Linked DNA regions of Neurospora crassa OR74A. Each later gene encodes a partner of the first gene's protein in a complex. Links are inferred from orthologs where the notes say so. Each region holds a gene or a part of one and is shown in the gene's direction. Other genes may lie near its edges.

What was found.
Region 2: the proteins of NCU00777 (region 1) and NCU01201 are in contact, whole or in part, in a crystal structure (PDB 4QTT), measured with the Saccharomyces cerevisiae proteins. The link is inferred for Neurospora crassa OR74A from reciprocal best matches to the Saccharomyces cerevisiae genes BUD23 and TRM112. Residues at the interface, in NP_009976.1 of Saccharomyces cerevisiae: Pro47, Cys48, Ser49, Phe50, Asp70, Val72, Cys74, Ile78, Leu83, Leu87, Glu92, Gly93, Asp94, Leu95, Met96, Leu97, Gln98, Asp99, Thr102, Ile104, Pro105, Phe106, Arg107, Gly109, Ser110, Phe111, Asp112, Arg139; in NP_014444.1 of Saccharomyces cerevisiae: Met1, Lys2, Leu4, Thr5, Asn7, Phe8, Leu9, Lys10, Ser12, Lys14, Asp17, Phe23, Ile40, Asn43, Glu45, Phe46, Asn49, Ile50, Arg53, Val54, Asp55, Leu101, Asn123, Gly124, Ile125, Pro126, Asn127, Leu128, Leu129.

Annotation. Positions count from the first base shown.
Region 1 is NC_026501.1:7,208,173-7,212,482, forward strand, and holds the start of NCU00777 (methyltransferase), read left to right. Parts: upstream 1-1,262; 5' UTR 1,263-1,470; coding exon 1,471-1,493; intron 1,494-1,573; coding exon 1,574-2,387; 3' UTR 2,388-2,595; coding exon of another isoform or gene 2,596-3,730; 3' UTR 3,731-3,829; coding exon of another isoform or gene 3,830-4,310. Other genes in the region: NCU00778 (sed5 vesicle protein), read right to left, coding at 1-351, 438-671, 749-818; T (tyrosinase), read right to left, coding at 2,596-3,730, 3,830-4,310. UniProt on the Saccharomyces cerevisiae protein: S-adenosyl-L-methionine-dependent methyltransferase that specifically methylates the N(7) position of guanine 1575 (m7G1575) in 18S rRNA. Requires the methyltransferase adapter protein TRM112 for full rRNA methyltransferase activity.
Region 2 is NC_026505.1:3,221,229-3,224,372, forward strand, and holds NCU01201 (trm-112), read left to right. Parts: upstream 1-1,207; 5' UTR 1,208-1,356; coding exon 1,357-1,542; intron 1,543-1,733; coding exon 1,734-1,931; 3' UTR 1,932-2,367; downstream 2,368-3,144. Other genes in the region: NCU01200 (peptidyl-prolyl cis-trans isomerase B), read left to right, coding at 55-181, 251-402, 645-898; NCU01202 (hypothetical protein), read right to left, coding at 2,714-2,853, 2,915-3,133. UniProt on the Saccharomyces cerevisiae protein: Acts as an activator of both rRNA/tRNA and protein methyltransferases. Together with methyltransferase MTQ2, required for the methylation of eRF1 on 'Gln-182'.

The DNA of each region.
Region 1 (4,310 bases):
TCCAGCCCACTGTGGACGTAACTCCTCCCACAGCCCCCAGGATGTTGTCGACAACGGACTTGATCAGGCCCTGCCCTCGTCTTGCCCTTGTACCATCACCACCGACGCCGCCAGCGCCACCGCTCGAAGAGGCGTCATTACCCATGGTGGGCAGGACATTGTCACTTGCCGACAAGCTGACAAAGAGGGCGAAAGGAACCAGCCATACACAAATGCCGAAGTAGGATGCGATCTCGGTGAAGGTGGGAACATTGGATGGCATGTCGTAGTAAGAAGTCATGTTTTGATAGGCGCGCTCTTGGTGACGCGAGAAGTGCTTGAACCACAGGTAATGGTTGACGAGAACGAGGCCTGACAGGAACAGCCAATGTCAGCAGATGCATACGAGATGAGGGAGTTGATGTGGGTTGAAAAGGGGCTTGTTTGCTCAAGCTTACCGCATGACAACACGAACAACGGGTCTGTCAATTTGACATAGGGGAACCTCCGCATATTACCCAAGTAGACGACATGGGAGCCAACACTGAGCAGTGTTAGGAAGAAGGGGAATCGGTCGACAAGGCATAGTAGAAGCTGGATGACGATGATGGTGTAAATAAGTCGAGTAAGAAAGCGCTTGGCAACAACGGTATGTTCTTCGACAACTTCGGACAGGTAATATAGACCCGAGGCTATGGTGCAATGGACGCCTTGTTAGCAAATGCAGGCCGGTCTCCCGCAGCAGGCAGCTTCACGGAGCAAGACGTACCAATAGCCAGGGTCAGGAAACAGAAGCCCGCGATGGAGCCGAGATAGCCAACAAGAGGCAGAATCCACATGTTGAGATAGAAGATTGATTGGGTTGGAATTAGACGGGCATAATATGGGAACTGGCTGGTGGTGGTAGGGAGGTCATCCAAGCTGAAGGAATGGCAATGTGTTGGGTTATGGAGATGTTGTTTCTGGAGAAAGGAAGCTCAAGGCTGGTGCCAAGTGGTGAGCCTGGAGACAACCCCTTGTACCCTATGGAAGCTCCCGGTCCCTATTTCCCCGGAGGGTCACTGCTACTTACCCCTGACGTGTTCAATTAAACAGACCGTGTTTTAAAGTGGGGCGGACCGTGACGGTTCAGGTTGCAAGCGAGGAATGTCATCATGGGCTGGAATTGGCGGCCGTTAAGGTACGATAAGGATATGTCGATAAGCTAGGTGCCGCCAATCCCACCAGCGATCGCCCTTGGCGGAACCCCAGAACAACCCCACTTCCAAAAGGGCCCATTGAAACTTTTTTGTGTCCCACCACACCGCTCGCCAGTACCAGCACCAGCACCAGCACCAGGCTGACCAGCAGCACCATCCTGTCAATCCATCCGCTGTCGGCGCATTTCCACTTCTGCTTGTCGCATTCCTGGACAGAAATCACTTCTCTCCTCTAGCCAGTCGTCAATTTCCTTGTTTTGTAATTGTCTAGTCTCAATCCAGCCAGCCCAACATGTCTCGCCCCGAAGATACCCTGTAGGTCCACGACTCGACGACAGCCTCGCGACAAGCACTCCCGTCCTCCTCGTTTTGTGCCCCAAAGCTAACAACACCAGCGCGGCCGATGTCCACTATGACGACACCGAAGCTCGCAAGTACACCACCAGCTCCCGTATCCAGAACATCCAGGCCTCCATGACCCGTCGTGCCCTCGAGCTCCTCGACCTCAAGTCTCCTAGCTTCATCCTCGACATCGGTTGCGGCAGTGGCCTCTCTGGCGAGATCCTCTCGGACGTTCCCGAAGACGAAGGCGGCCCTCACGTCTGGGTTGGCATGGACATCAGCCCGTCCATGTTGGATACGGCTCTACAGCGCGACGTCGAGGGCGATCTCTTCCTCGCAGATATTGGCCAGGGCGTGCCATTCCGCGCCGGTTCCTTCGACGCCGCCATCAGCATCAGTGCCATCCAATGGCTATGCAACGCCGAAACCAGCGACACCGCCCCGTCCACCAGACTTTCGCGCTTCTTCAACGGCCTCTACGCCTCGCTCAAACGTGGTGGCAGAGCCGTCTGCCAGTTCTACCCCAAGAACGACGTACAAAAGCAGATGATCACTGCCGCCGCCGTCAAGGCTGGCTTCGGCGCCGGTCTGCTCGAGGACGACCCCAACACCAAGAACGTCAAACTTTACCTGGTTCTCACGGTCGGCAAGGACGCTACCGGTGGCAAGGACATCAGCACTGTCGTCGAAAACATGGACGGCGTCGATATCCTTGACCAGAGAAAGAAGGGCAAGGGCGGAAAGGGCGAGATCAAGAAGGGCAGCAAGGGCTGGATCATCAAGAAGAAGGAGCAGATGGAGCGCAAGGGCAAGATTGTCAAAGCCACCTCCAAGTACACTGGTCGCAAGCGTCGTATCCAGTTCTGAGCTTCGGGGTTGTTGGGTCTGTTTGTCTCTTATTCACATCTGCATTGGGAAGGCGTTTGGGTGGTTACGGCGATGAAAAAATATGTCTTTTTTTGTTCTGGATTTTGCCATTTCTTTTACGGCTGAAATAACGATACCCGGTTTCTTGATCTCACCCTACAGGACCCCCCCCTTTGGACCTTCCTACGTTCTGATGCTGAATCCCCCTTTAGATGTGATCCTCTGGGCCATGTCCGCACGGCTTCCCCTCGGTGATCTCAGGATAGACGGTATACTGGCGAGAGTAATGTGGCAAGCCTTCCTCATCGATAGTCACCTCTGTCGAAGCCACACTAACCTTGAGGTCCGGAACCTCCTCCAGATTATACTCGTCGCCGTTGAAGAGGGCCACCTTCCACTTCAAGTTGGCGCGCAGATGCGGGATGACATCCTCAGGCTTGAGGCTCTGGAGCTCGCCGCCCACAATATCCTGCAGCAAAGCGGAGGTCAGGGGCACAGTGCCTGAGACGATCAGACCGTTTGCGTTATCCTTGCGGCACTTGCCACACTGGGTTTCGGCGCTCCGTCCCAACACGGACACACGACCGACGCAGTTGAACTCGTCGTCCCAGGTCTCTGGGTCGGGGTTGAACTCGCCCAAGAAGACGATGACACGGAAGGATTGCCCCAGACCGTGTTTCTGGGCGCGAACGTTGACAATCCAGTCGGTGTACTTTCCGTCTGGGGCGAGGTACTTGAGGCTCTCTGGAATTGGGCCTGGTGAAGCTGTCAGCTTGGATGGACGTTTTATGCTCAAGCCGATCATCATACCTGCGGCCGTGCTCGACTCGGCCTTTGTATCCTTAACAGGCACCACCGGCTTCTGCGCCTTCTCCTCAGCGTGCTGGAACACATTATGGACCTTCTCTGCGACCTTCTTGGCCCCGGAAAGCTCAACTGCATGAGCAGCAGCAGCCGAGACGGTGCTCTTGCTCTCCTCGCCAGTTGCCTGCGGTTTCTTCAACGCCGGCGTTCGGTCGGCGACATTCTCAACAAAGTTGGCAAACACATTGCTCCCGTACAGCGCCGTGACAGACTTCCTGATGGCTGCCTGGTACTCCTTTACGGACGAGTACTTCCACTTCTGCGTCTCAGGATACGCGTATCCGAAGGTGATGCTGTCCTTGACCTGCTCAGAGGTCCAAAAGTTGGCAGCAGATTTGTCCCAGAACGGCTCCAGAGGCGTGCTCTTACTCTGGCTTTCACCCTCCTGTGCGACGAAGGTCGAGTAGGGAGCGGGTCGGGGAGTCATGAAGCTGTTGGGGTTAAGGTCTTGCCAGATAGACCAGAGGCGGTCGACGTTACTTCAGATCAAGGGCTTCTTGTCAGCGACGATAACGGAATGGGGCCTGTCAGGCATGACCGATGCAAAGAAAAAAGGGAAAAGGGGAGTGACCACATACACATGGTGCAACCAAAACAGCGGATCAAAAGCCGACACCTCCAGGCTCGACATATGTCCATTTCCGCCTGTCCGATCATGAATCTCATTATGCACATCCTCCAAACTGCCGAAATCACCCGGGTTGGTATTCGGATCCCACCTGTTATAACTGAACGCATCAAAGTCCTTGTAGCTCAGCAACAACAAACTGACATTATTTCTCAATGACGCCAGCTCGTTCGCCAAGATGGGCGCAATCCGCTCATCCCGCGATGCCCCTGTCAGCCGGTTTGGATACCGGACCGTGCTTGGGTATCTGCTCCACGCCGCGCTGAAGTCACCAGGGCTAGGGTTGACCGGGTGGAAAGTAAACCGGTGCAGCGGGTTGTTGATGCTCTTGGTCTTCCCGTCGACATCCACCACCTGTATGGTACGCGATGAGAGGGACTCCGGAAACGCCAGCGTTCCTTTAGGAGGCTGACTAGCCCAATCAAAGTACG
Region 2 (3,144 bases), on another chromosome or scaffold:
GCTTCCAAGTTCCGTTATGCACTTTGGTCCATATCATTGACCGCTTGTGTACAGTCTATGGTGACAAGTTCCCCGATGAGAACTTCAAGCTCAAGCACTCCAAGAAGGGTCTCCTCTCAATGGCCAACGCTGGCAAGGATACCAACGGCTCCCAGTTCTTCATTACCACTGTCATCACCTCGTAAGTCGAATACACTCGAGCCGCATGGTCTAGGAAGTGCCCGGTTGGCTAATACACATTTTGTCGCAGTTGGCTCGATGGCAAGCACGTCGTCTTCGGCGAGGTCCTCGAGGGCTACGATGTCGTCGAGAAGATTGAGAACACCAAGACCGGTCCTCGCGATGCTCCTGCTGAGCCTATCAAGATCGCCAAGAGTGGCGAGCTTGAGGTTCCCCCTGAAGGTATCCATGTGGAGCTTTAAAAAGCGTCTTCTATCCATCCTTGCGAATCCCCATTTCCCCACCGTTAACTGTTCATAAACCTGTGTGGGAAAAGTCATATAAAAGAGGAAAGGATATAGAAGCAAAACTTTTTGGATCCTCATACCTACAATGGTGTCCAATTGTGGATCGTTTTGTTCCTATGACCGTTTACCCGTGTATATGAGTCCATGTGCTGATGAGTCGGTGTTTTTTCTCATCAGGCCTGGAAGGCCAGTCGGAATGGGCATCTCCCGCGTACGCAAACGAAGACGAGAAGCCTGCTGCTCCTGTTCCTGTTACCGATGCCAAGCCTCCTGCGCACGACAGCATCCCCGCCGCCACCGCCGACGACGATGACACTGGTGCTCCCTTGTTCGCCAAGGTCCTCTTCTTTGGTGTATTAGTTCTAGGTCTCGTTTTGTATATTCGCCTTCGTCGCGCCCCTAAGGGTACGTACGGAAAGGGCATGGAGTAGGCAATATCTCGAATATTTGAAATCTGACAAGGCTGCATAACAGGTAGCTATCAGGGTCTGGGCGGGCGTGAGTAGCCCAGACGAGTATTGTTGAAAGGGAGAAGAAAAAAAAGGATCAAATCATGGGCATAAATGAAATCATCGGATAGTTCGCTTTTATTCCCATGTATATCAGTCGCGGTAATGGTTGTGATGGTTGCTTCGGCGATGTAGTGGCGTGTCTGTAAGTCGAAGCATAAAAGTAGCATCACGTGGATCCATTTTTATCCGTTCGAGTCGCTGGGATATCGAACTTTTTTTTTTTTATTACATTTTTGGTAAGACAGTACCGACTCGTAAACCACGACCAGGAAAACCTTGAACATCTTTTCACTATCTTCCCCGAAACTCTAGGTCTCGCTGGCCGAATCCAAAACTAGTTGAGAAACATAATATTCAATCAACCAAAACCCACCAAGATGAAGGTCATGACACTCAACTTTCTGACCTGCGCGGTCAAGAACTGCAAGTCATCCAACGACTCGTTCCCGCTGCACCCCAAGGAGGCCGAGCTGGCCAAAGATGATATCGAGATCAACCCTCAACTTCTGATCAATGTCTTGCCTCGCATCGACTGGGCTGCTCTGCGGACTACTTCTACCGAAGTACGTTGAACTCTTTTTGTATTTTCAAAGCCGACCCACCATTTCGATATGGAGCTACAATATATCTTCATCCCCAATTTTCAGAGAAATACCACACGTCCATCTCACACCTCCCTCACCCTCCCACACTTTCACTTCACCCCAAACAACAACAGCATTTCAACGACGTCCTCAACTAACACACACATCAGCTCGGCTTCCCCACCCTCCCCGAGCAGCCTCCCTCGCCAGAGGATCTTCAGTCCGACGAGGCTCTCCTCAAGGAGCTGCACGAGCTGCTCATGGAGACCCAAATGATGGAGGGCAAGCTCGTGTGCGGCCACTGCGGACACGAGTACGCCGTCAAGAACGGCGTGGCCAACTTCCTCTTGCCTAGCCACTTGGTATGAGTGTGGAGCGCGAGGCAGCAAGGCGAGGCGTTTTCAGGGATGGTCGTGTCAACTGGACTAATTGGACTGGTTGCCAGAGACCTGTTGGAGAATCGGGGAATCTTCATCGGATAGTAAGCACCAAGGAGTGGTAGAGATGGAGAAGTGGTTCCTACCACACGGACTCGGGGAATGCATGCGATGCCAGAAGGCTGGCCACCTGCGGGTAGCAATGAATGGATGGATGGATGGATGGTTTGGGTGACTGCCCAGGGTTGGTTAAGGGCTACCGCAGGAGTCGTCCTGTCCTTGAAGAGACTAGAGTATGGCGAGAATGATTTCTTGAGGGGCGGTTAATTATTTCAGCATTTTACTTGTTCACTTTCAAGGCGTTCTGTAAGGGAAAACATCAATAGAGGATTATCTGGCAAATATCAGCGGCGTAAAAAAAAAAAAAAAAAAAAAAAAAAAAAAAAAAAAAAAAAAAAAAAAAAAAAATCATTTCACCAAGGTGACAGGTTGAAGTTTCCAAAGTTAGTTATTGCCCATGTTTCATGCATATCATTGCTCATGCGTGCATTCTTGTTTTCATTCCCATCTTGCTTTGTTCTAGTGTACGAATGCGCAATGCTTTAATGATACCCAACCAAGAACAAGAACCCTCGAACTCCGGCCTGTCCCCCAAACCCATATACATAGCATGATTCCATAGCAAAACAAAACTTGTGTTCTGCCGCATGCACATCTGTTGTTCGTTGCATCCCAAACCCTACAAAACACGAGGAACAGGGCCTCCAAGCGCTTTACTGCTGCTTCTTCTGTGCAGTCGGTCCCATCTCCTTGTCGAAAGCGCCATATGAGACTTCGAGACTACCGAGAGCCTTCAGTCCGACGCCCAGGATGGAGAGCATGACAATGAGAGCGAGCAGGGCGACGAAAATGCCTGGTTCAGTGTCAGTCTACTGCCTTGAAAAAAGCGCCGACTTGAGATGATGATTACATACCAGGAGTGAAGAACTGATACTTCGCAAACAGCGGGCGGTTATCATAAGTGGTGTTGCCGTTGTCACTGCCCTCCTGAGAGCTAAACTGTCCGCGCTTGAGATCCATATGGACTGGTTCGATAAAGTCAGGCTGGTAAGCCTTGAACTCGTTAGGGTCTGATACCATGACAAGGGTATAGTCGCCCTCAAGGGTATCGAGCACCAGGCCCAACTGATCGTCTATAGTTGCA